Linked DNA regions of Macaca mulatta. The protein of the gene in region 4 purifies or fractionates together with the protein of the main gene of each other region. This does not show direct contact. Links are inferred from orthologs where the notes say so. Each region holds a gene or a part of one and is shown on either strand. Other genes may lie near its edges.

What was found.
Region 1: the proteins of PPP1CB (region 4) and GSK3B purify together in Homo sapiens (affinity purification with mass spectrometry; 3 studies listed by BioGRID and IntAct, with this or other methods). This does not show direct contact. The link is inferred for Macaca mulatta from reciprocal best matches to the Homo sapiens genes PPP1CB and GSK3B.
Region 2: the proteins of PPP1CB (region 4) and PPP1R12B purify together in Homo sapiens (affinity purification with mass spectrometry; 4 studies listed by BioGRID and IntAct, with this or other methods). This does not show direct contact. The link is inferred for Macaca mulatta from reciprocal best matches to the Homo sapiens genes PPP1CB and PPP1R12B.
Region 3: the proteins of PPP1CB (region 4) and TRIOBP purify together in Homo sapiens (affinity purification with mass spectrometry; 3 studies listed by BioGRID and IntAct, with this or other methods). This does not show direct contact. The link is inferred for Macaca mulatta from reciprocal best matches to the Homo sapiens genes PPP1CB and TRIOBP.
Region 5: the proteins of PPP1CB (region 4) and CCDC85C purify together in Homo sapiens (affinity purification with mass spectrometry; 3 studies listed by BioGRID and IntAct, with this or other methods). This does not show direct contact. The link is inferred for Macaca mulatta from reciprocal best matches to the Homo sapiens genes PPP1CB and CCDC85C.
Region 6: the proteins of PPP1CB (region 4) and PPP1R9B purify together in Homo sapiens (affinity purification with mass spectrometry; 4 studies listed by BioGRID and IntAct, with this or other methods). This does not show direct contact. The link is inferred for Macaca mulatta from reciprocal best matches to the Homo sapiens genes PPP1CB and PPP1R9B.
Region 7: the proteins of PPP1CB (region 4) and RAI14 purify together in Homo sapiens (affinity purification with mass spectrometry; 3 studies listed by BioGRID and IntAct, with this or other methods). This does not show direct contact. The link is inferred for Macaca mulatta from reciprocal best matches to the Homo sapiens genes PPP1CB and RAI14.

Annotation. Positions count from the first base shown.
Region 1 is NC_133407.1:163,632,914-163,636,886, reverse strand, and holds the start of GSK3B (glycogen synthase kinase-3 beta), read right to left. Parts: upstream 2,801-3,973; 5' UTR 1,787-2,800; coding exon 1,699-1,786; intron 1-1,698. UniProt on the Homo sapiens protein: Constitutively active protein kinase that acts as a negative regulator in the hormonal control of glucose homeostasis, Wnt signaling and regulation of transcription factors and microtubules, by phosphorylating and inactivating glycogen synthase (GYS1 or GYS2), EIF2B, CTNNB1/beta-catenin, APC, AXIN1, DPYSL2/CRMP2, JUN, NFATC1/NFATC, MAPT/TAU and MACF1.
Region 2 is NC_133406.1:60,098,549-60,102,048, reverse strand, and holds part of PPP1R12B (protein phosphatase 1 regulatory subunit 12B), read right to left. Parts: intron 1,862-3,500; coding exon 1,658-1,861; intron 1,416-1,657; exon of another isoform or gene 1-1,415. UniProt on the Homo sapiens protein: Regulates myosin phosphatase activity. Augments Ca(2+) sensitivity of the contractile apparatus.
Region 3 is NC_133415.1:13,825,858-13,829,934, reverse strand, and holds the start of TRIOBP (TRIO and F-actin-binding protein), read left to right. Parts: upstream 1-1,277; 5' UTR 1,278-1,292; coding exon 1,293-1,406; intron 1,407-3,067; exon of another isoform or gene 3,068-3,462; coding exon of another isoform or gene 3,463-3,740; intron 3,741-4,077. Other genes in the region: uncharacterized protein LOC107000659, read right to left, coding at 3,463-3,740.
Region 4 is NC_133418.1:96,222,336-96,226,349, forward strand, and holds the start of PPP1CB (serine/threonine-protein phosphatase PP1-beta catalytic subunit), read right to left. Parts: upstream 2,801-4,014; 5' UTR 2,474-2,800; coding exon 2,422-2,473; intron 1-2,421. UniProt on the Homo sapiens protein: Protein phosphatase that associates with over 200 regulatory proteins to form highly specific holoenzymes which dephosphorylate hundreds of biological targets.
Region 5 is NC_133412.1:172,838,191-172,840,647, reverse strand, and holds part of CCDC85C (coiled-coil domain-containing protein 85C), read left to right. Parts: intron 1-142; coding exon 143-241; intron 242-1,072; coding exon 1,073-1,162; 3' UTR 1,163-2,457. UniProt on the Homo sapiens protein: May play a role in cell-cell adhesion and epithelium development through its interaction with proteins of the beta-catenin family. May play an important role in cortical development, especially in the maintenance of radial glia.
Region 6 is NC_133421.1:59,875,257-59,878,756, reverse strand, and holds part of PPP1R9B (neurabin-2), read right to left. Parts: intron 1,566-3,500; coding exon 1,336-1,565; intron 1,013-1,335; coding exon 916-1,012; intron 747-915; coding exon 693-746; 3' UTR 1-692. UniProt on the Homo sapiens protein: Seems to act as a scaffold protein in multiple signaling pathways. Modulates excitatory synaptic transmission and dendritic spine morphology. Binds to actin filaments (F-actin) and shows cross-linking activity. Binds along the sides of the F-actin.
Region 7 is NC_133411.1:35,887,697-35,891,196, reverse strand, and holds part of RAI14 (ankycorbin), read right to left. Parts: coding exon 2,943-3,500; intron 1,124-2,942; coding exon 974-1,123; intron 1-973. UniProt on the Homo sapiens protein: Plays a role in actin regulation at the ectoplasmic specialization, a type of cell junction specific to testis. Important for establishment of sperm polarity and normal spermatid adhesion.

The DNA.
Region 1 (3,973 bases), on a different chromosome or scaffold from region 4:
ACAGAGGCTCTTAAGTAGTTATTATAAGATTTGTATCATCATAGCTGAAAATTACCCCGGAATTTTAAAATATTTTTCAAATGACTCCATGAAGCGCTTAGAAAGCACGACCCTTCCCTGAAAGATGCATAATCAGCTGTCCTCTTTTCCTACCCCGGCATTCTCTACTTGCAAACCACCGGGGGAAAAAAAAATTAACTTTGAAAAATAATCTCCCATTCAGCTATTACCTAGACTACCCTGTTTCAGGCTAGTTCCCAAAGCCAACACGAAATGAAATCTTGAGTTCAACTAAAAGTGATCATTTTATGTTGCCTAAGAATATAATCAATTTCACATAACATACATGTTTTTTGTGTGTGTCAGTTCTTAAAATCTCAGTTCTTTAGTTCTCTCCGTTCTTCTAAGCAACACAGTAATTTCTTTGCCCTCATGATGACCCTCTTTCCCACAATAAGGAAACAACATAGATATTTTTGTTAAATTCTGAAAGTATGTTTAAACAAGCTGTCATTAAACACCACATGAACTTCTCCATAAATAGAGATACACTGGAACATTAGATACTTAGTATATACTAAACACTTCAAAAGCATACTTCTCAGCACAAACCCAGGACAAGAGTAGTCTATCTACAACCCTGAACACAGTCCAAATATCCCTATTATTTCCAGGACCACAGCCATCTGCAAAAGCCAAAATGGAAAGGACTAAAGCCACATTCTTCTAACTAAATCCACAGTTATCTAAATGTGATGGAAACTAACGCAAGAGTATTTTAAATCGTCCTTTTTAAGGAACCCTCCAGAACATTTAACAGGAGCGCAACAGTACTCCAAAATTGAACTTAAATGTAATGAGCCAGTGACAACATTTAACTTACTATTTGGCACTATGACAAAACAAATCTCAATCAAAACCTGGACCTATTAATACTTCTATGTTACCTTTTGATTAAATATAAATTATACGGTGGCAGGTTGGTAATGTCAAAACAGGAAGGTTAAGAGAGAACACATCAAACCACTAATCCAATCGAACACAAATGCATACAGAGATGCTACTGCTGCTGGGTATTTATTGGCTCCCACTAGTCCCTTCTAAAGAGAGAAATCAATGACAGCCTCCAAATGTGAATGGTTACTGAGCAAGTTCATCCACAGATTAAGAACAAATACTATGTGTAGTCATACAGACAAGAAAAAAATGTTGGGAGGGTGGGACGTTTAATGTCTCTATTAAGTATACCAAACTATGATAAATCCTGAGACCTAAAATACCCTCTTATTCCAAAAGACATACATTCTGCAAATGTGCACAATGGTTTATTAATCAAATCTTGTCCTTCTCTTTATTCTAAAGGATGGGCAAGTAAACACGGTCATCACTAACGTGGAAACACTCAAGCACTTGATGAAACTCACTACCAACAGCAAGAAAAGTATAAGAAAGCAGTTTCAAATCGAATCATCCAAATAAAAATCATATTATCTCAATTCAAGGTTAATGAGACCGGGGGAGGGGGTATGGGAGGAGTAAAGAGGGAGCTGCTTCATCCTTGACTGAAGATAGGTTTTGCCCTTTTCCATTGCTTGTTTGTTATATTAGGAAGTCTAATATTTTCAGATCCTGGTATTCCGAGATTTCTTATTTTAAGGGCGAAGTGGAAAAGGGGCGTAAAATAAAATCAATACTCACTGCTAACTTTCATGCTGCCAAAAGCTGAAGGCTGCTGCACCGGCTTGCAGCTCTCCGCAAAGGAGGTGGTTCTGGGCCGCCCTGACATGATCACTCTCTTCGCGAATCACCTTTTCCTTCCTTCCTCCTTTTCTTCCTTTTGTCTTTATGTTGGGGTGTTAGGTTAATGATAAATGCAGCATTAAGTTCTCCCACAGAAGAAAAAGAAAAAGACTTCGTCCTCTTGGTTTTTCACTCCTTTTGTATACTATAAAAAACAAAACAAGCGATGTATTTCTCCTTCAAGACAGATCGGCACGGATATTTAACATATAGATGATTTACGGCTGGGGAAAAAATACAATTCCTTCCCCTCCCTTTCCTGGGAGGAGAGAAAAGAAGGGGCAAATCCTAAAAAAATATGTATCACGTGAAACAGGGGCAAATACTTGATTGAAAATGAGTACTTCGAATATTATATTTTCCTCGGGGATTTTTTTTCCGAGTCAATGAAGAAGGGAAGCGGCGGAAGGATCACGAGTCTCACGCTTGAAGAGAAAGGGGGATGGGTAGGAGGGAGGGAGAGGGAGGGAGGGGGTGGCTCGGAGATGCGACGGGAAACGCTGCAGCTCCGGCAGCCGTGGGATCCGGCGGGCTGACGGCGGGGGCCCGGCGAACTGGAGGGCGGCGGAGTCGCGAGTCAGTCAGAGGCGGGCGGTGGCGGCGGCTCCTCTCCTCATTGCGCCAGGAGCAGCTGCAGGCGGCGGCTGGATCCAGCGGCCATGGCGGCGGCGGTGGCGGAGGCAGCTCCCTTCAGACCCCAGGCAGCGGCTCCTCGACTGCTCCCCATACGCCGGGGACATGGGAACCCGGCAACCGCTTCCGTCCCTCGGGGCCCCCTCCCCCGTCCGCGGCAACAGCTCGGCCGCCCTCCCGCCCCTCGCCTCTGTTCGGTGCCCGCTCAGGAAGTGTCCGCGCTTTGCCCCCAGCCCAGAACCCTGTCAGCGGCTGCGGGGCCGGCTCCTCCTCGCTTCCTTCCTTCCTTCCTTTGTCACTCGGCCCGGGCGGCGGCGGCAGCGGCGGCACAAGCCCGCATTCGCCCGGGTCAGGGGCTGCTCTGTGTGAGGAGCGCTGTCTGCGCAGCCGCCTTGCACTTCCCCACTCCCCCTCCCCCTTCCTACTCTTCCTCCACCTCCTTCCTCCCCCACCCAGCCTTACACCGCCCAGCGCACCGCCGCCCGCGTAACAGGCGTCTGGGAATCGCCGCCCGAGCCCCACTCTCGCCCGCTTCGGCTGGGAGCCGAAGCCCGAACGGAGCCAATCACGGACGTCGTTTGTTTGCGGCTCCTCCCGGAAAAAGCCGATCGGCCTGAGAAACCAATTAGAAAGTGACGCTGGAAAGCCACGCCCAAAGAGCGGAAAATGCCGAAGGCAGCCGAACGGAAAGGGTGATTTCGCCTTGTTCGGTGGCTGGCTGGAGGAGACATTCGACAATGGCAACAGTGGCCAATCAGAGTCGCCGGCCCTCACGAAAAAGCTTGAAGAGTTGAAGACGGTGAAACCCAGAGACGCTGGTGAAACTGCACGGTTGGGCGCCGCCGCCGCTTTGTAATTGGCTGGAAAACTCCGCTGGGAGCGTACCTCCCTCGGTGATTGGTGAAGGGAAGGGGGCTTCCGAGGACAGTTTGGCCAGTCAGGACTTCCCCTCCCTCTCCAAGGTGGGGAGAAGAAAGCGAAGGGAGGGCGTCTATAAAGCGCCGTCTCATTGGCCGGAAGCTTAGGCGCTGGAGTTGGGGCAAAAGGGAGAGGGTGGAGCTCGAAACTCGCGGCGGTGGCCAATCGGCTCTCACTGCCGTCCAATCGCAAGACTTAGCTGCAGTGTGATTGGCCTTCGGCCTCCGTCCCAGGACCTGGGAGATGCCCGACTAGGGTCGTGGCTGACGACCCGACGGCTCGCCTGCGGCCTCCAACTACGGTGGAAACCGCACATAGGGACCGCCTGCCCTAGGCGCAGCAAATCGGAAAGTGCTGCGGTCGGCGGCGCTGGGTTCTAAGAGCTCAAGCGAGCAGAGGGGTCGAGGGGTTCTCCCCATCCACAGGAGGCTCTCGGCGGGGCGCAGCCAATTCTGCGCGCCTAAGGCTCCCCTCTGCCCTGGATCGCGTGTGCCGGGTGTCGGCCTCTTCCCCGAAAGGGCCTGACGGACAAAGGGGGCCTTCCCAGCCGGCAGCAAGCTCTCAGACGCTAAAATGGGAACAAAGCTTCTTTGGGCGGCCGCGCCCCGCCCAGCCTCGGGGG
Region 2 (3,500 bases), on a different chromosome or scaffold from region 4:
GAGGGCAGTGGACAGGGAGCCTGGGGGAGTTAGGGAGCGCAGGGCAGGGTCCATGGTGTGCAGACGGGGTGGTGGCCACCTGGGTGGTCAGTTCCTGGCAGGAATTACCACAGAAAGTGCCACACCCTCTAAGGCAACAGCAGTCGCCCCAAACAGCCACTTCCATGGGCTGGACCAGGCACCCTTGCTGGGGCATGGCTGGGGTTGCCCAGCATTTTCTAGTACAGCGTGGTCTCCATGCTCCGCTGTGCTGCGTGCTTCTTCACCAGCTTCGAGAGCTCTGCGTGGATAGTCTTGTTGGAAGGTTCCAGCTTCAGGACCGCCCTCAGGATAGGGATGACCTCACTGTACTCACCCTGCTGGGGCAGTATCTTGCCCTTGTGGAAGACAGCCTTAATGTTGTCCAGATGGTGCTCCCACGAGGTTGCAGGAGCACAGGGCTGCGCAGTAGTGGTCGAGCTTCACCTGTGAGGCCACCAGGTTGTTCAGACACCTCACCCTCAACTGCAGGAGCTGCTTCTCCTCCTCGAACGTCATGTCCACTTTGGCGCTGGAGGTGACGGTCTTGATGGCAAGGTCATAGGAGTTGGTGGCCAGGACGAAGTCCGCCCACTGGTAGTGGGCACTGCCGCACTCCCACTTCCGGTTGGCCAAGGCCACGCGCTCCTGCCCTATGAGCATCTCCAGGTCAGGCCAGTCCACGGCCATCTTCGGGGTCACCTCCAGGCATAGGGCCGCGTGCGGGGGATGTATGGGCTCCTGTCCTGGGGGCTGTAGCAGTACATGCAGTCAGCAGTGACCATGGCTGCCTCCCCCACGTCCATGAGTTAGACACTGAGATCCAGGGCCTGGATGACCTCACAGACGCTCAGGGTGAACACTAGCTCCGGCTCCTCCTGCACCCACATGCCATTCTCTTGTGATGTCTGCAAATGCATGGTGACCACCTGGCCCTTGACTGAGCAGCTCAAATCCGGTGGCCCTGGGACAAGCGTCTTCTTCCTCAACAGCTGGTTATGTCTGGCCACTCTTCTGGGGCCGGGGACGGGGCAGGCTCAGGCTCCATGGCAGTGAGGAACTCTCGGGCCAAGGTCCCGGGCTGTTCAGTCTCTTCCACCAGGGGCTGTCCCATGTCCTCCAGCAGTGGCAGCTCTCTAAGGTCATCTTCCTCCTCCTCTCCCTCCTTGCCCTCTGCATTCTCGACCCCATCCAGCACCTCGAAGTCCTCGAGCAGTGGGACCCTGGCAGGAGGCGGGGGCAGAGGGCTCAGAGGGTTCAGCACACGATGCCATGCTGCTGAGGGGATAGGAATTGGCCCTCTGGCTCCAGGACCCCTGCCTGCGGTCCTGTGCCCCCCTCCGCCATATTGAAATTTTTATGTTTCTGATCTATTTTTTGCTTTAGGTAAGGGGGCAAGGAAGACTGAACGAACCAAAAGGAAAAGCTATTTTTAAAGTTTTTTTTTTTTTTGGCCAAGTAAATAATAGCAAGCAAATAGCTACTTGATTAAACTATCAGTGTGCCTGTCTCCCTTTAAAAGCTTTGCATTTCCAAAATCAACTTAAGGACTAGAAAATATTTTCATTTGTTGCTAAGATTGAATTTTCATGGAAAAAAAAACTGCATTGGAATTCCCCCACACCCTCCCAAACTGCACCTTATCTTTGTTGTCTAGTAGAGCAGAAATCCGAGGGCTTGAAGAGGAACGGTAGATGGAAGAGCCTCGGTCCCTTAGAGGTTCCCTGGAATTGGCCACCTCACTCAGCATGTTGTGGCTGCCAGTTTTTCTCAGTCCCAATCTCCACGAAGAAGGAGATTCATCTTTGGGCTCTTCTGGCTTGTTAAAAAGGCCAGAAGAGAACTACGAGAGAAGCAAAAGAAATGAAAAATAAAGGCTCTGATGATTCTTTTTCAGCCTATTTGCCTTTTCCACACTTAACTAAGTTCAGCGAGGCAACATAAGGTAGCTAAGAACAAATACAGGGCAGTCTTTCTGCCAATGTTCCCTCCCTCACCCGGCAAACACTAATAACCTCTCCAGGCTCTTTCTTCCTAAGTCAAAAATAGCCTCGGATTCTTCACACAGTGCTCCTACCTGACAGAGTTGTTATGAGAAATTAAATACCATTTGCTATCCTTGTGCAATTAATACTGACCTGGAACACCAGGAGATTGTATTCGAGTAATGTATCTTCTTCTAACTCACTGTGGAACTGAAAATAAGATACTTTACTTCTCTAGGTCTCAACATGCTCACCTGTAAAATGATGATAATGAGCTTAATCCCTTATAATATGTGGAGACTGGAAAAAATGAGACCAGCTAATTTATCTTTTATTTTTTTTTTTTTGAAGTAGGGTCTCACTCTGTCGCCCAGGCTGGAGTACAGTGGCCTAATCAGAACTCACTGTAGCCTTGACCCCCTGGGCTCAAGTGATCCTCCCACCTCAGCCCACCAAGTAGCTGGGACTACCAGCATATACCACCATGCCTGGTTAATTTTCTCTAAATTTTAATAGAGACAAGTTCTCCCTATGTTGCCCAGGCTGGTCTCGAAGTCCTAAACTCGAGCAATCCTCACACCTCAGCCTCTCAAAGTGCTGTGATTACAGGCATGAGCCCATGTCCAGCCAGGAACAGGCTAATTTATAAATACATTTTAAGGTACTATGATAAAGTGATTTAAGTTAACATTGATAAAAATTCTAGAAGCCACTCCACTTAAATTCTGCTAATTTCAAGGAAATTTATTTGATCTAGAGTAGCAGTTTAGAGAGCTTTAGATTTCACTGAGCAGCCTCCAAAAAAAGCCAAAAAAAAACCCCATAAAACTAGAGGTCAAAGGGTTGCTATCTTTTTATCTTTTAAATTTAATTTTGCCAAAAGAAAACAACATTCTGAAAGATGTTTTCTTTTTGAACTCATCATCACCACCATTTCATTAAAAATGAAATGTTAATATCAAAAAAGAAAGCTTTATGGAAAGCTTACATTGTCCTTAATTATCTCATTTTGCCATAAACTAGGGAAACATCATAGATCAGTATTAGGCCAAGGACCAGTTTGGGGTACAACTAGTCTTTGGAACACAAGCCAACAGACCCTTCCTGAGGTCCAAGACCTTTTCAAGAAGACTTAGGCCTTTCTTCCAATATAAGGCTACCTTTACTGCCTGATACGGTGAAAATAAATAAAACTATTAATCACTAATCTCCAACTCACATAAGATTTTCTCTTTTCATCAGTCATCTGAATGTACACATGTATGTACTCCTTCCAGCTTTAGGGGTTCAATGTCAGCTTTTTACAAGCTACTCTGATTCTAAGGGGGAAAATGCCTTCCCCAGCATCATTTTAGCAAAGTAGAATAAGTATCTGTGTGTGTGTGTGTGTGTGTGTGTGTGTGTGTGTGTGTGTGTGTGGTGGTGGTGGTGGTGGTGCTGTTGTTGTTGTTTTTGAGACAGGGTCTCACTCTGTTGCCCACGCTGGAATGCAATGGC
Region 3 (4,077 bases), on a different chromosome or scaffold from region 4:
TTGGGGCGCACTAGAATCACCGGGGAAATCACTTTTTTTTTTCTTTTTTTTTTTTTTTTTTTGAGACGGAGTCTAGCTCTGTTGCCCAGGCTGGAGTGCAGTGGCCGGATCTCAGCTCACTGCAAGCCCCGCCTCCCGGGTTCACGCCATTCTCCTGCCTCAGCCTCCCGAGTAGCTGGGAGTACAGGCGCCCGCCACCTCGCCCGGCTAATTTTTTTTTGTATTTTAGTAGAGACGGGGTTTCACCGTGTTAGCCAGGATGGTCTCGATCTCCTGAACTCGTGATCCGCCCGTCTCGGCCTCCCAAAGTGCTGGGATTACAGGCTTGAGCCACCGCGCCCGGCCTTTTTTTCTTTTTTAAAGACAGAGTCTCGCTCTTGTCACCCAGGCTGGAGTGCAGTGATACGATCTCGGCTCACTGCAACCTCCACCTCCTGGGTTCAAGCAATTCTCCTGCCTCAGCCTTCTGAGTAATTGGGACTACAGGCGCGCACCACCATGCCCAGCTAATTTTTGTATTTTTTGTAGAGACGGGGTTTCGCCAGTTGCCCAGGCTGGTCTTGAACTCTTGGGCTCAAATGATCCGTCCGCACTGGGCACAGCTGGAATGTGCATTTTTTTGTTTTTTGTTTTGAGATGGAGTCTCACTCTGTCGCCCAGGCTGGAGTGCAATGGTGCCATCTTGGCTCACTGCAACCTCCGCCTTCCGGGTTCAAGCCATCTTCCTGCCTCAGGCTCCCAAGTAGCTGGGATTACAGGCACACCCCATCACACCCGGCTGATTTTTGTATTTTTAGTAGAGACGGGGTTTCACCATATTGGCTAGGCTGGTCTCGAACTCCTGACCTCAAGTGATCGGCCCGCCTCGGCCTCCCAAAGTGCTGGGATTACAGGCATCAGCTACTGTGCCCGGCCTGGTATCTGCATTTTTATGAACAGCCCAGGAGGGTGTAATGCAGAGTCCTTGGCATGCACTTTCAGCAACACTGCAGTAAGGACTAGAAATCGCACATCAAATGCTGGCAGAGTGCTTGGGTGCTTAGTAGGTGCTTAGCGAGTGTTTGTTGAGTGAATAAATGAACAGGAATGGATGGAGAATAGGAACATCCAAAGGAATGGATGAGTAACCTTATTTCCTTGGTCCTTGTCTGGAAACTGGGGCAACTGGGGCTGAGGTTCAGGTGAGTGGCCAGCCAGTCATCTGGTCTTTGCCTCTCCCTCATTTTCGCCAGGCCTCACCTAGAGGTTCAGCCATTGGATTATAGGAACTGCCCTGCCCTGACTCACCCAATATGGAGGAGGTGCCTGGGGATGCCCCCTGTGAACACTTTGAGGCCAACATGCTTACCCAGAACCGCCGTCAAAACTGCTTCCACCCTGAGGAGGCCCACGGAGCAAGATACCAGGTGAGCCAGTTCTCCACGTGGTTGAGGTGGTTTGGGATGGGGGCATGGGTGAAGGACTGGGCCTGTGGTGTCCGCTAACTCACAGTTGAACCCAGATGCTGACCTTCCTCCTGGCCAGAGCCTCGGTTTTCCCACATTGCAATGAAGTGGTTGAACCATGTGAATGTTTCACAATCTTCAGTCACTTTCCTCCTGCTTATATGATACGATTGTTACCATAGCCTCATCTAATCTATTACTTACTTTGTTAGTCTTTAAATCAACATCTTTTTCCCCTCCTATTGTAAAAAAACTTCACATCATCAACACAAGTAGAAAACTATAATTATTTCCTGTGTATATAAAGTTAAGGAGAAAGGTAGAGCCTGGGCACAGAGGCTCACACCTGTAATCCCAGCAGTTTGGGAGGCCAAGCAGGTGGATCACCTGAGGTCGGGAGTTTGAAACCAGCCTGGCCAACATGCTGAAACTCCATCTCTACTAAAAATACAAAAATTAGCTGGGCACGGTGGTGCATGCCTGTAATCCCAGCTACTCGGGAGGCTGAGGCAGGAGAATCACCTAAACCCGGGAGGCGGAGGTTGTGGTGAGCTGAGAACACGCCACTGCACTCCAGCCTGTCTCAAAAAAACCAAAACACAGAAGAAAGGTAGAAAAAGAAAAAAACAAAACAGAAATGTCATTAAACCCTAACTCGAGAGTATTTTCTTTTTCTTTCTTTCTTTTTTCTTTTTTTTTTTGTAAGACAGAGTCTTGCTCTGTTGCCAGGGCTGGAGTACAGTGGCGTGATCTCAGCTCACCACAACCTCCACCTCCTGGGTTCAAGCGATCCTCCCACCTCAGCCTCCCAAGTAGCTGGGATTACAGGTGCCTGCCACCATGCCCAGCTAATTTTTGTATTTTCAGTAGAGACAGGGTTTCGCCATGTTGGCCAGGCTGTTGTTAAACTCCTGACCTCAGGTGATCCACCTGCCTCGGCCTCCCAGAGTGCTGGGATTACAGGCATGAGCCACTACACCTGGCCTCGAGAGTGTTTTCTTTTCTTTTTTTTTTTTTTACGAAGATTGAATCTGCTTTATTTATATACACAATGGGGCAGCCTAATGCACATCATAACATTAACTTTTCCAAACAAGTTTGCTAAGAAACTGCTCCTATATTTAGTGTTAAAAATAAAACAATCTTCCCATTTAGAAAAATCAAGACATCCGTCAATTAGTAAAGCCTATTCTTCCTCCCAGCAATTTGTACTTTCTTGTATTCATTTAGGAATTGTGAATTCATGAGAAAAGAACACTTTTTTTTTTTTTTTTGAGACGGAGTCTCACTCTGTCACCCAGGCTGGAGTGCAGTGGCCGGATCTCAGCTCACTGCAAGCTCCGCCTCCCGGTTTACGCCATTCTCCTGCTTCAGCCTCCCAAGTAGCTGGGACTACAGGCGCCCACCACCTCGCCTGGCTAGTTTTTTTGTGTGTTTTTTAGTAGAGACGGGGTTTCACCTTGTTAGCCAGAATGGTCTCGATCTCCTGACCTCGTGATCCGCCCGTCTCGGCCTCCCAAAGTGCTGGGATTACAGGCTTGAGCCACCGCGCCCGGCCGAAAAGAACACATTTTTTATGTGTTAAATATCTTCCAGGAACAACAGTTTACAAGTATTCATTTGTTTAAATAAACACAACTATTTTCCTTCTTAAAATGTAAACATCCAGTAAATAAAACATACATGATATTCCAGGTATAGAAATATTAGTAACTCACTTATGAAACAGGTGCATTTTGGTATATTTGGTGGTAAGGTTTTTCTTTGTCTTATGTATAAAAGTACTTGCACAAAAAAACAGGCTATTACTATTTAAAACACTATTCCTTCACCCAGTTTCCTCACTCAAGTAGAAACTCATGAATTTCTGTGATTTTCGCTATAGGACCAGGCCACAGGAAAGGGCTAAAATATCTCTAATTAGAGCTAGGGAAAAGTGTTTTCTTGAGACTTGAAGGCAGTCATTCGTCACTTTGTGCTCGAAGACATTCCTCAGTGAACTTCTCTCCTAGAGCCTTCAGAGTAAAGCACAGGATCTGGGCTCCCGGAAGGGGTTACTTCCGGCTGGAACACCCACCAGCAGGGCATCCTTGCAGGCATTCTGCATACAGTATTGTTGAAGCTCTGCAGCTGCCTGAGGGACCTTGATCCTCTCCATGCCAGCCTCCAACTTGAGCTGCTCCACCAGGCGCTGCAGGGCGCTCGCGCTAGCGCTGGAGGACATGGCGGCGGCACTGGGTTCTGAGGGCCGAGAGTGTTTTCTGTGGAAGGCTCTGAGCTTGAGTCCTGCTGTCTCTTTGTCAAAAAGGGAGATTAGCAGATGTTAGAGAGATGTTAAGAATACACCAGCATCATCTGGAGATTTTCTTTCTCTCTCTCTCTTTTTTTTTTTTTTCCTTTTGGAGATAGGGTCTTGCTCTGTAGCCCAGGCTGGAGTGCAGTGGTCCAACCATGGCTTACTGTAGACTCAACCTCCCAGGCTCAAATGATCTTCCCACCTCAGCCTCCTGAGTAGCTGGGACTACAGGCACATGCCACCACGCCCGGCTAATTTTCTTGTAGAGACGGGATCTCACTATGTTGCCAGGGCTAGTCTCAAGTTCCTGGGCTCAAGCGATCCCCCCACCTCAAC
Region 4 (4,014 bases):
AGGCCTCGATTTGGGAAGGAGGTGAAAAACCCAGAATATTTAAGAATCCCTGGGTAGCACTGTCAAACTAAATATGCTTCTGTAGGATGAAGAAGTACTGAAATCTACTGATAGAATGTGTGCTGAACACAGGACAGAGAGAAGGCTGAAAAAGCCTGAAAGCCACTTGTTTAGACTCGGAGCTCCTTGAGTGAAGAGACTGTGTCTTGTTTTAGGATTGCTGGTGCCTGGCAAGGAGGAGGTCAGCATGTTAACGCTTGCTAAATTGAGAGAAATGTGTCTGGACTACAATTCTTACCCCCGCCCCCCAAAAAGGAAAAAAGATTGTACAAAACCAAATATTTAATTTGAATTCACAAAAACAAATTGAATCACTTAGACTATTTTTCCCCCAATGTCTTTTCCAGTAACCTTCCACAACCCACTCGTGAAGTTTAAGTACCTGTAATCATAAAAAGGTGCATCTAATTTGAAAGGATACAAACATTTTAAAACATAAATCTGTTTTATGCCTATAAAATAGATGGAAAATGAAATAAAATATAAAGTTGAGATACAAACATATTTTTAAAATATTTAAATTTACAAGCAAAGTTTAAAATATATAAAATTGGGTCCGGCGCGATGGCTCACGCTGGTAATCCCAGCACTTTGGGAGGCTGAGGCGGGTGGATCACGAGGTCAAGAGTTCAAGACCAGCCTGGCCAAGATGGTGAAACCTCCGTCTCTACAAAAATACAAAAAAAAAATTAGCCGGGCATGATGGCGGAGTGCCTGTAATCCCAGCTACTCGGGAGGCTGAGGCGGAAGAATCGCTCAAACCCGGGAGGCGGAGGTTGCAGTGAGCCGAGACCGTGCCATTGCACTCCAGCCTGGAAGACACAGTGAGACTCCGTGGGGGGGGGGGGGGGGGAGAGTAGGCCTCTACTTTCCCAAATGTAAACAAGACATATACATTTTTAAATTAACTGTATTTCTCTCATAGAACAGTTACAAAATACAATTTTTCTTCAAAGCAAATTTCTCAAAGACCCAGCAAGACGTTCACATCTGAAACAAAGTCTTAGGTAGTGAACACTGACTGCAGGCACCAGGGGGCCTCCCAGGAATAACTTGATAGTAAAGGAAAAGGTAAATAAGAGTTCCTGGTAAAACTTTTGCTTCCTATTCAGTCTTAAGACTGCTGGATGGCTTTCACTTCTGGAGCAAATATACAGTATTTAGTTACAGAACGGCTACACACAGAACTTGGGTTTTAGATACCGACACATTCGTTGAAAAAAACGAGTTACCCCTCCCCCATTAAAATATTCTTTGATGATTTTCCAAATATAAGTACATGTTGCTTTACTGTAGCAAACAATTATCTTAAGGTAATTTGAAAGCAAACAGTACATATGCAATCCTTCGATGGCGGCTAACAAAGAGGCCTCTAAATTGTTTAAAAGGGATTAATGGCTTTTCTACACACTCACAAAACAACTAGTGATGACGAAAATTTTAGGGTAGAAGGACTGTTTGGCATTTAACTTTGAATAATATCCTGCAATGAATCAATACATTTAACTCCTGGCTTTCCCCCCCCTTGCCTTCCCACCAACATAAAACTATTCGATAAGAACACCAGGGCCCGGAAAGTTCAAATGCTGCGTAGACTTGCAAATACCTTTCGAACACAAGACAGGCTTTAAAAATAGATCTTCACTAAGTTGTGCAGAAATTAAGCTCTGCTCAAATCAAACGCAAAAGCCAACATCTACATACATCACATTTCTTACGTGCATCTTCAACCTGATCAAATATTTTGTCTTACAATTTTTTTAGGCCGAATAACAAATGGTAGATAAATTCCCGCTAATTTTATCCTCTCTAAGAAGAATCCATTCTATGGCATCGTGTAAAAATGCAGAGCAGACGAAGCATTCCTGTTACGGACAGGTTTTTATATATATACATAAAATTCACTCGCGGAACGACAATCGGAGGCAGCCAAGGGCAATGCACAAAGAGAGAAGAAACACTGATTCCACGGACACACAAAGCCCGGTGGCAGGCATCCTCTCCCCCTCCTCGGAGGAGTCACCGGAGGCGAGCACGACGGCGCGCGGAGCCCGGCGGCCTTTCCGAAAGGCTGTCTCCCGCAGACCCGCTCCGCACAGCTGCCGGCCGGCGGGCCTGGCCACCAAGGGTCCGCGGGGACGGCCCCCTCTCCCCCGATTTCCCCTGACCGCGCTCCCGGAGGCCGCTCCCCGGCGCCCAGCAGCCTCCTCGCCCCCTCCTCGGCTGGTCTGCCGCGCCGCGCTCCCAGAGACAGCCTCGGGGCGGGAAAGAGGTCCCCTCGCGTTTCGGCGGCGGAGGTGGACGCAGGGGTCGGCGGCGGCGCCCGACCTCCCTCCGTCCCACGGCCCGGCGCGCACTCACCCTCCAGCAGCCGGGTGATGAGGCTGTCCACGTTCAGCTCCCCGTCCGCCATCTTGTCGGCACAGACTCTCCTTCCCAGCAGCGGGAACAAGGGCTTCTCGGCGGCGGAGGCTGCGGCGACGGCTCGGCGTTCTCTCACCTACAAGTCACGCGGCGTTTCGACCCCGGCTCCAACTCCCCCTTTTCCCGGGCCCTCCCCCCACCCCCTCCCCGCTGGGTAGCGAGAGCGCGCGCACACTCGGAGGCACCCACGGAAAATAAATAAATAAACAAGAGGGGCCCCCACAAACAGGGCCGCGTCAGACCAAGGCCGCCACCTCCTCGTCCTCGGCACCGCCCAGCTCCGCAAAGCTCACCAGCGCCGCCGACGGCCCCACCCGCAGCGCCACTCACTCCGCACGTCCCTTGCGCGCCACCGCGTCACGCAGTTCTCCGCGCAGGCGCCCGGCGCGCTCCCCGCCGAGGTTCCCCTCGACGCCTGGGCCTCCGCGCAGCCGCACTGGAGCGGCTTCTGCCGCCGCCGTCTTCGCGCAGGTGCGTCGCCCTCTCTCTCCACGTCCACGGCGCCGAGTTTCGCCGCCGCGGCGCAGGCGCCAAGGAGGTGCCCGGCTCTGCCGCTCGGAGGAAGCCCCGGTTACGCAGAGCGGGCTGGGGCAGGGCTCACCTTCCTCCTCCTCTGCTTCACTGGCGTTTTCCAGACGTGGTGGTTGCACCCTTTTGGCCTCGCTTTCCTTTTCATGGCTTCATACCTTAGATCTGCAAGCAGTTCCTCGTGTTTCTTCCTAGCCGGGAAACGCGAACTGCAGCGTTTGGAACCCGGGTTTGCGCTTGTGAAAAGCAAGAAGGGGTTAACTCTGCTGGAGTTCGACATTGCAAATAAAGGTCTTTACCCCCAGTGGTTCTACAAAATTAGTTCCGCAGGGATTCTGTTTGAAAGAAGAGTTAAAGTGGGCCCTGTAGGAGTCAGCAATAATACAATTTTACATGGGTGCATATGGCTGCCTGTGTTTAGCGCTTTCACACATCTTGTATCTCCATCCACGCCGTGGGTATCTTTTTTCCACAGTGTGTTTCTGTTGCTGCTTCCAGTATATTGCTTAATCATCCTACCTGGTAATTATTTATGCATTTTTCTCCCACTCTCGACTCAGCTCCTAGGGGATAAAAACACACTAACTTATCTTTGTGCGCACAGCACCCACCAAATATTTCCATCACGTAATACTGCTTCTAGAAAGGCAGGAGGAGAGGCAGTCACGCTAAGGATCTAGGCAAGCCAGATCTTTTGTCCTGTTTTAGGAGGTGGCCAACCCTTACTTATTCCACAGGTGTTTTTCCAGAAACTCAGATCTGATATTGCCCCAAGTCCAAGGCAGTACTTCCCCCACTCACATATCACTAATAGTAGCTAACATTTGTTCATATCCCTGTTATGTGCTGTGCCACTGTTTTAAATGTTACACCCGCGTTACCTCATTTAATCCTTATAACAGCCCTGTGAGGTAGGTACTATTATTATCTCTGCTTTGTAGATGGGATTTACCGAGGCACAGATGGTTAAAAAACCTAGCCCAAATCACACAAATAAGCAGC
Region 5 (2,457 bases), on a different chromosome or scaffold from region 4:
CCACGCTTGTCACCAGGGGCCCAGCAGCTCAGGGTCCTCAGCTTTGGTGTGCAGCAGGGGAGGCTGAGGCCCAGGGGCCAAGTGACTTGCCCAAGGTCTGCCAGTGGCCTCTGCCCCTGACTCCAAGACCCGTTCCCTTCAGGTCCTGGAGGTACATGAGAATCTGGACCGGCAGCTCCAGGACAGCTGCGAGGAGGACCTGAGTGAGAAGGAGAAGGCCATCGTTCGCGAGATGTGCAACGTGAGGCTTCCAGGGGTGGGGGGCAGAGGCTTGGCACTGGGAGTGTGACCAGGGCCACCCAGCATGGCCATACCCTTCCCCATGTGGGACTCCATTTCTCGAATGCTCAGCGAGGGCTGAGTGGCCTTGGATGGCTGAGGGGAGGCCTCGGAGGCACTGAGAGCCCCGGCTGGTCGTCACCTCACTGCCCCCTGCCCTTCCCAGAGGGCCCGTGGTGTCTGCAGATCTGCCCTCCCCATGAGGGGCTCTGGACAGAGCCTGAGCCCCCCACCCCCTGGGGTTGGTTTGTTCACCCCAGGTGTTCCCTGGGTGCTGGCCCCTGGGCCTCCCAGCTTGCTGGTGCCCCCCGTGGCTGCTGGCTGGGCAGGTGGTGCTCAGAGCAGGAGGTCCAGGTGGAAACCCTCAGTCTGCCAGGCTGGGGCCGCCCAGGAGAGCCCCGTGCCCAACCCAGCTGAGCACCATCAGTGGTCTCCTTGGGTGCTTGCAGGAGCCATCGGGGAAGGAGTTTCATAGGGTATGAACCCAGGGCTTAAATGGGGGCGAGGGGCTCTGAACTGTGCAGCCCCTCCCCCACATCACCTAGTGGGGCTTATGGACCCCACTGGACAGCTGCAAGGCTGAGCCACACCCCAGCAATGACCTGCTCAGGCCCGATAGCGGGCATGCAAAGACCTGATGTGGGTGTCTCTGGGCCTGCAGTGGCCTCGGCGTCCCTCCTGGCCCCATGGCTCTGAGGTCGTGGGTGATTCTGCCGTGATGAGGCGGCGGACGCACACAGCCGGCAGGTGGACGCGGGTGAGGCCACCACTCACAGCTCTGTCCTCTTCACAGGTGGTCTGGAGAAAGCTGGGAGATGCAGCCAGCTCCAAGCCCTCCATACGGCAGCACCTGTCTGGGAACCAGTTCAAGGGGCCTTTGTAGGGCCACTCTTCTGTGGACGTGGACTGGCCCTGCTGGGAGTCCCCAGGGGGAGTTTCAGGCCCCAGACACGGGCAGGACCTCCAGTCCAGCCCTTGTCTTCTTTCTCTGTGGTGAACTGTACATAGGACGCTGCCCGCCCTGGCCCAGCTGCCATGGCTCCGATGCACTGGCCCAGCTGCCATCTCCCGCCTCACACACCAGCAACCTGGGAAGGAGACGCCGCGGCCGTTCCTGCAGCAGAGCAGCCCGGACGCCTTGTTCCCTCTCTGGGCCCCGAGCCCTGAGCCCCATGAGCAGGAGGCTGCTTCTGAGATCCAGCCTGGGGACTGTCCAGGCTCCTGTGTCCCGCCTGGGATGGAGGGGCCACTCATCAAACCCTCTACTCCCCGGCTGCCACCCACACTGGACGGACAGCACCGCTACCTGGGTCTTGACACAGGTGGTACCACTTCTCGCCCACGTGCCGTGGCCTGGCCCACCAAGCACTGGGTCCCCGGCACGTGGACAAGGCCGCTCACCATGTCTGTGGCTGGCTGGAGGCTGCCCTGGGCCCTTCCTGTGACCCCATATCTGGAGCTCAGGGTGCCCTCACCCCTGGGGATCTGCACCCAGCCACCCAATGCCTGCTGCTCCTTGCTTTTGGAGGTCATCCCCCTCCCCCACAGTCTCTGCAATGTCCCCCTGCCACCCTGTCCAGGCTATGCCCTTTTTGGGCTCCTCCTGCCCCATGCCTGGGGCACGTCCCTATTTGTGGTTTACATGACAGGCCAGTAACATAGGAAGGGCCTGGGGAGAGTTTCTGGGCTGAGCCATATGTGATTTTCCTGATGGGCAGCACTGGGCCACAGCTGGGGCTCTGGTTGGCTGTGACCTCCCCCAGGGCCTGGCTGCATCTCGGGTCCCTGTGGACAGAGCTCTCCGGGCTGCAGATGAGAGCTGTTCTTTTTGGGAAGGAGGGGGTCTGGTCAGGTTCTGCCTTTAGTTTGTGGTGTGACCTTTAGCAGTTCACTCAGCCTCTCTGGGATCTTGGTGGAAACAGGGCTCTGAGGTTCCTTTCAGCCATGCTTATGGCTTCAGGTCATCCGGCACACACAGGGCAGGGGTCCGCACTGGGGGGTGTGAGCCGACAGCTGACCTGCTGGAGAGGCCAGAGGGCGGCCGGACGGAGCTGAGTGCCGCTGCCTTGCCGTCGCTGCGGGTGGACGGTTGCCTCCCCACTCTGAGCCCGTGTTCTCCGTTGTAAAATCGGCAGCAGAAGGCCCTCCTCACAGGATTCTGGGATCAAGTGAGATCTT
Region 6 (3,500 bases), on a different chromosome or scaffold from region 4:
GATCAGGTGTCCTGAACTCTCCCTTTTTCCTACTCTCACTCCCCTTTTCCCGAAGGACACATGAGAAATCAGTGCAGGGCCAGGGCCAGGCCCAGCCTCCGGGCTCTGGGGTGGACTCTATCCCTCCCAGGACAGGGAACAGGGATCGGGGAGGTGTTGAGGCAATGCCCCCACCCCCCAAGCAGGAGGGTCGGAATGCAACAGAGACAGCACAATGATGGGGGAGAGGGAAGGGCCGAGAAGGTAGAATCTCAAGTCAAGAGGCCCAGGGGCCACCCAGGTGCCCCATGGGCAGGGAGCAGCCTCCAGTTGGCAGATGCTGGGAGAGCCCCAGCCCCGTTCCAGTCCAGAGACAAAAGCTGGAGTGTGTAAAGTCTGGCAGCTTGATGTGCAGGTGCTTGTGTCCATCGACCACCAGGCCAGCCCTTGGCAGCCCTCGGCCTCTGTGCCTCAGCCCCATGGGGCAGGAAAGAGGCCGCCCTTCCAGCCACCTCTGTCTGCCCAGGCCATCTTAAGGGGGCCTGTGATATGAGCCCTCTGGTCCCTGAAGCTGGGGGAGGTGGGGTGGAGGGGTGGGGGGGAGTCGGGGCACCTGTCCCCAGGCTGGTAGGGGGAGGGGTGGGGTGTTGAGGACAGGGGAGGGAGGACAATGGGAGGGGGTTAATTATTGTCCTGTCAAGGAATGATTCCTGTTAAGTAGAATTGGAATTCCTCAGTGTTTGCAAGTTTCCTTCCAGTTCTGAGATCTGGAAAACAAAGGAGGGTAGGGGGTCAGGTCTGGACACCAGGCATGATCCCAGCCCCTTCCACCCCCCTGGTGAGGACATGGCATCCCCTCCCTCCAGGACCCATAGGGTAGGGGCTTCAGTGCTGCTCCCTCCATTGGGCCCTGCCCACAGGGCGCCCCGAGCCCACCTTGTCCAGGAGCTTGTCCATCTCCTCCTTTCTGGCCAACTCTGACTCCTCCAGAACCCGACGCTGTGCAGTCTCCTTTTTCAGGAACTCTATCTCCCTGGGCATAGGCAAGGGACAGATGGCAGGTAAGGGTGTGTGGTCTGGCTTCCATCCAGGATGACCCAGGTCCTCAGCTCTACCTGGGCAGCTCTGTCCTCCCCTGTTCTCAGGTTGGGAGGCCCCAGGTTTTCCCAAAGCCTCTGGGGGTCTGGCTCTGTGCTGGCTCTGATGCATGTCATTCCAGGCTGGGTGTCCCACCATGGGGCCCTCCAACTTCTGTGCTCCTTGCCTCCCTACTCAGCTGGAGGGGTGGGGAGGGACTGCCCCCAAAAGCCTCTCAATGCTCCCTGGGCCCAGGCCGCCCAGCCCCCAGCCACGTACTTCTGCTGGTAGTCCTTGATGAGGCGCTTGGCTTTGCTATACTTGCGCTCCAGGGCCTGGTACTGCGCCTGAGTCTCCCGCAGGTGCTCGTCCACAGCCTGGCACAGGCTCTGGGCCTCGCCCCAGTAGCCTTCCAGTTTCTCCATGCGCTCCTTGTTCTCCTCCACACTCTGCTCCAACTGCGCCTTCTCCACCCGCCAGCGCCCCTTCTCCTGCTCCAGGCTTTGCAGCTGAGGGAGGAAGGCACGGCCCTGGGTTGGTGGGGGCCAGCAGGAGCCAAAGGGTACCCCCATCCTAGCACTGGTGCCAGAGTCGCCAGGGGATTCCTACAGTTGTGGAGTCCATTGCACCCCAACTACTAACCCTCTTTGACTGAGCCTGAGAACTGAAACCCAGAGAGGAAAGTAGAGCTCGGCCTCAGAGCTCCCACCAGACTCCCTGTCACTGCACCCCTCTCACAGGGAGGCTGGAGGCTTCGGTTTGTCGCTGATACTCTGACTTGGGGCAATGCAACTAATGTTCCAAGCCTCAGTAATCCCATCTGTCAAATGGGAGTGATATGTGCCTCCCAAGCTCACAAAAGCTCTAGTGAGACAGTACATGTGAAGTAAAAGGGCAGATGAGGGTCACCATCACTCTCTGTCCCCTCTCTGCAGCCCCAGCCCTGCTTGCCAGTCTCTGCTCCTCCATCGCTCTCTGTCCCCTCTCTGCAGCCCCAGCCCTGCTCGCCAGTCTCTGCTCCTCCATCGCTCTCTGTCCCCTCTCTGCAGCCCCAGCCCTGCTCGCCAGTCTCTGCTCCTCCATCGCTCTCTGTCCCCTCTCTGCAGCCCCAGCCCTGCTCGCCAGTCTCTGCTCCTCCATCGCTCTCTGTCCCCTCTCTGCAGCCCCAGCCCTGCTCGCCAGTCTGCTCCTGTGGCTTCCTGAACAATCCTGGTTCCTCTCCCAGCTTCCAGGTGACCCCAGCGCAGACCTCCAGTCCCCCACAGCTCAGTTCTGGATCCTCTGTTCTCTCTATACTCACTGCCCTGGGGCACTGGCCCATCTCCCACACCACCTGTGTGCACTCTGAGCCACAAATCTCAAGTCCCAGCCCAACCTTGCTCCCAACTCCCAGCTTTAGCTCCCAGCTCCTCCCAGGTACCATGCCCCAGACCAGACCCCCGCAGCTGCACAAACCTATGCCTTCTTTCCTGATTTGCTCTTTTAAAAGGCCCCACAACCTCACAGACATGTTGGCACTCAGTCTCAGGCCCCTTCCAGTATTTGCTGCAAACATCCCTTGCTCTCTGTCCCCCAGCCACACAGGCCTTCCTGCAGATCCTCAGACTTGCCACAGGGCCTCTGCATGTGCTGTCCCCTCTGCCTGGAACGTCCCCCATCTACCCTCCTGCTTGCCTAATTATTTCCCTCTATCTCACCCTTTGGCTCTCTACTCAGTGTGTCACTTCTCCAGAGAAGCCCCCACAACTCCCTGCAACAGCATAGCCCTATCCCCACCTCTACCCAAATCAGGTTCCTCCTGCTTTAGCAGCTCAGGAAGCCTGTTCTCTCCTACAGAGCCCCATGCCAGTGTGTGACAACACAGTCACTGGTTTGCAGATGCACAAGAACAATGGTCAGCTCTGGCTTTGCCCATCATGGTGATGGGAACAGTACCGGACATCTATAAGGTACCCAGAGGAGGTCTGTAAGTGGAACGCACAAACAGACCTTTGGCGTGTCCCTCCCCTTCATACTCTGCATACACCCCAGGAACACAGCCTGTCACTCTGACCCCGGAAATGCAGTGCTCACCCACCCTTCCTTTCCAGACCCTCTGCCAATACTCTGAGCAGTCCTGGCCTACCCCTACCAGAACACTGTCTGGGCCCCTAACCAGTTCGCCTGCCTCCCAGCACTGCCCACTTTCATGCCCTCCCACTTTGTAGGCAGTGGCTTTCCAAAAAATCCCAATGGCCACATACTCCATGCTATCTATAGGACCAAGGCCAGAGTCCTTAGAGGGGAGGCAGGACACTGCAAGCCAGAGCCTACCCTGGCAGTCCAGCCCTGCCTCCACCTCTCCCCGACAGGCATGCTGCCACCTCCTGGCTGGCCTCCCCCAAAGCCAGCCTCCATGCTCCACAGAGCTCCTCTCCCTGCCAGGAATGCCCCTGCTTCTGCCC
Region 7 (3,500 bases), on a different chromosome or scaffold from region 4:
TCCAGGACAGACTAACTCTGGTTTTTAGGTAGAAAACGTAATGTACCCATGCCAACTCAAACCTTAACAGATACTGTGGTAAGCTAAATAATGGCTCTCGAAAGATGTCCACATCCTAATTCCCAGAACCTGTGAATGTTACTTTATATGGCAAAAGGCATCTTGCAGATGAAATTAAGGGTTTTGAAATGGAGAGGGAGATTATCGTGGATTATCTAGGTAGGCTTTAGGTGTAATCACAAGGGTCCTTATAAGAGGGAGGCAAGAAAATCAAAGGCTGAAGGAGGAGATGGGAAGACTGAGCAGATGCTGGAGTGATGTGCCTCGAAGATGGAGGAAGGGGCCATGAGCCACGGAATGCAGGCGGCCTCTGGTAACTGGAAAAGGCGAGGAACCAGCCCTGCCAACAACTTGAAGTTAGTCCAGTGAAAGCGATTTTGGACTTCTGTTCAATGCAACTATAAAATAATTCACTCATGTTGTTTTAAACAAATTTGTGGTGATTTGTTACAGTGGACCCAGGAAACCAATTTAGATAAGGAAGGGCTTTCCTGGGTGAAATAAGGAGAGGGGCCAAGAAGCAGCTTCAGATATATAGAGATGCAACTACTAGAGATCCTGGCCCCTAACAAGAAAAAGCTCTTGCCACTGCCAGAGATGAGGAATGTTGCAGAAAAAGGAGAAGGGGCAAAAAGTTAGGGTATGAGTGAGCACGTAGTCTCCTCCCACTGTCCTGTCGGTTCTTTCCTTCGCAGTGAATATCTGATCCATTGCATTGCTGATAACGACTGAGAATTCCACCAGTGGCTTCCTCTTTCGCCCTCACTGAAGAAATCAGTCAACTGCTCATTGAAGTACATTCCTTTGGGCTGGGAATCTTTTTGTTCATGCCCACTTGCCCTAGCAGCTGAGATGGTACGGAATCTGCCAGGCCCTCCACCCCAAACCAGGCAGCAGAAGCAAGCCCGCTCACCGCCAGCTGGTTCTGGAGCTGTTTGACTTGCTGCTGCAGTGCCTCCAGCTGCTGACTCTGCCTTTTGGATGAGCTTGTTGAGTAGGAGAGCTGGGAGAGGCTGTTCAGGGCCTCCTTCAATTTGGTGACTTCCTTTGACATCTCGTTTATCTAGGAACAAAGGAAAATGGTATTAACAGGCAGTAACATGTCTGCAAAGCAAAATTTCATATATTTCTAAGCCTCAAACATAGTCATCTCTTTTGGTCTCTGGGACTTAAGACTTTGGAACAATTCCCTTTTAATACATTTAAATAAAAAAACTCATAAAATGAAACAGATAACAAAATCAGGCAAACTAACAAAGCCCATTGCATCCATTAGGTTCAGATAAAGGCCCTTGAATTACATATTATGTTTTGGTGATGGTGGTAACAAAAGCTGTGATGTTGGTTTCCTATTTTAAAAGGGGTATGATTGAAAAAAAAATCAGAATTAGGATTTTAGGCTTTATTTGGAGACAGCTATATTTCATCCAATACTGCTGACATGGGCGATCAGGAATAAGGCCTAGGAAGCCTGCTATCTCTGGACATCTTTCTTTAAAGTAAACACAAGTAACTCCCCACCGTACCCCCACCACTCGCTAATCCCTGTTTCCCTGGCTGGTAAAGCTCTTTTGAAACACTCATTACAAAAGAATAAAGATAAGTAGTCTCTAATGAATGCCATTCGGAACCTCTGAGACAGGGGACTAGCGATGCAGAGCTGATTGAGGTGTGGAACTATCCCCCCGAACTTTCCCTTTGCTTCCCTCCTTCCTCCAGCAGCATGACCAGCACCATCTCCTGTGTCCAGTGCCATCTTAAACTGCTGGATCGCCACATTCCTCTTCCTCTCCTATATACCTGTCAAAGGAGGGGCCAGTGAGGGTAGCTTTTACGCTGACTTGAGGGGAAGCTGATGGACCTTAGGGGAGCAGGATTAAGTCTAGGAGTATTTTAGTTTCACATTATGGAGGAATCTGTTCTGAATCCAAAAAAAGAACTTGAAGTTTGAGGTGGATCACAAATACTTTTCAGTTTGCAAGTTCACTTCTGATCCCCAACACTGCCAAAGCTTCTGTAAAATGATTTTTGAAGGACAAATATGCATCACATATGTGAAAATGCTTTAGTATAAGGAGAAGTGGCCAAAGATTGATGTTTGCTTATTTATTATTTTTTGAGGCAGGGTCTTACTCTGTTGCCCAGGTTAGAGTGCAGTGGCGTTGATATGGCTCATGACAACCTTGACTTCTAGCGCTCTAGTGATTTTCCTGCCTTAGCCTCTTAAGTGGCTGGGACTACATGCTCGCACCACCATGCCTGGCTAATTTTTAAATTTTTTGTACAGATGGGGTCTCACTATGTTGCTGAGGCTGGTCTCAAGCCATCCTCCCATTATGGCCTCCCAAACTGCTGGAATTAGAGGAGTAAGCCACTATGCCCAGCAGATGTGTTTTTAAAATATAAATACCCAACAAACTATTCTTTTTGAGATGAAGTCTTACTCTGTTGCCCAGGCTGGAGTGCAGTGGCCTGATCTTGGCTCACTGCAACCTCCACCTCCTGAGGTTCAAGTAATTCTCCTGCCTCAGCCTCCCTAGTAGCTGGGATTACAGGCATGTACCACCACACCCAGCTAACTTTTGTATTTTTAGTAGAGATGTGGTTTCACCATGTTGGCCAGGATGGTCTCAAACTCCTGACCTCAAGTGATCTGCCCACCTCAGCCTCCCAAAGTGTTGGGATTATAGGCGTGAGCCACCACATCTGGCCGATCCAACAAACTATTCTTAATGTGGCTTTGGGGACAGATAAAGTTCATGTGCAGAGTCTCTGAGCATTCACTCCAGTTTAGTGCCAACACTAGAAGTATTTAATGTAGTAAAAGCCAAAGAGACTAAGACTTATTGCTAGAAACCCAACAGCAATGCAGTTTCACCAACCTTTTTATCCTTATCTTCCTCCAGTTTTGAAGAGCTCTCAGAATATCTTTTCATTTCTGCAAGTTCTTCCTGAGCTTGCTGGAATTTTTGCAGAAGTTCATTTACTTCTTGCTCTTTGGATTTCAAGAGAGTCTGAATATTTTCCTTTTCTCTTTTCACCTGTGAGACCTCACTTCTAATCTGGGCAACCTCTGAATGGACCTTCTCTTTCTCTTTCACTGATTCCTTTAATTTCGATGCCAACACACTCACTTCACTCTCTAAGGATGACTGGAGCTTTTCATAGGAAGACCGGGGTACCATTGCATCAGTCATAGCAGCTTTCTCTTCTAAGAGTTGTTTCTCCAGCTTTGCTACTTCCACTTCCTTGCTTGCAAGGTGTTCCTTAAGATTGCTTATTTTTTCTTCCATCTCTTTTGCTGCAGTCCGCAGCGTGGTTATCACTTGCAAATGTTCTGTGATAGAGACAGAGTTCTCTTTCTGTGCATCGACCAGTTGTTTGAGCTGGGTCAACTCGTTCAACACTTTTGAATACTGAGACTTCATTTCGGACAGTGC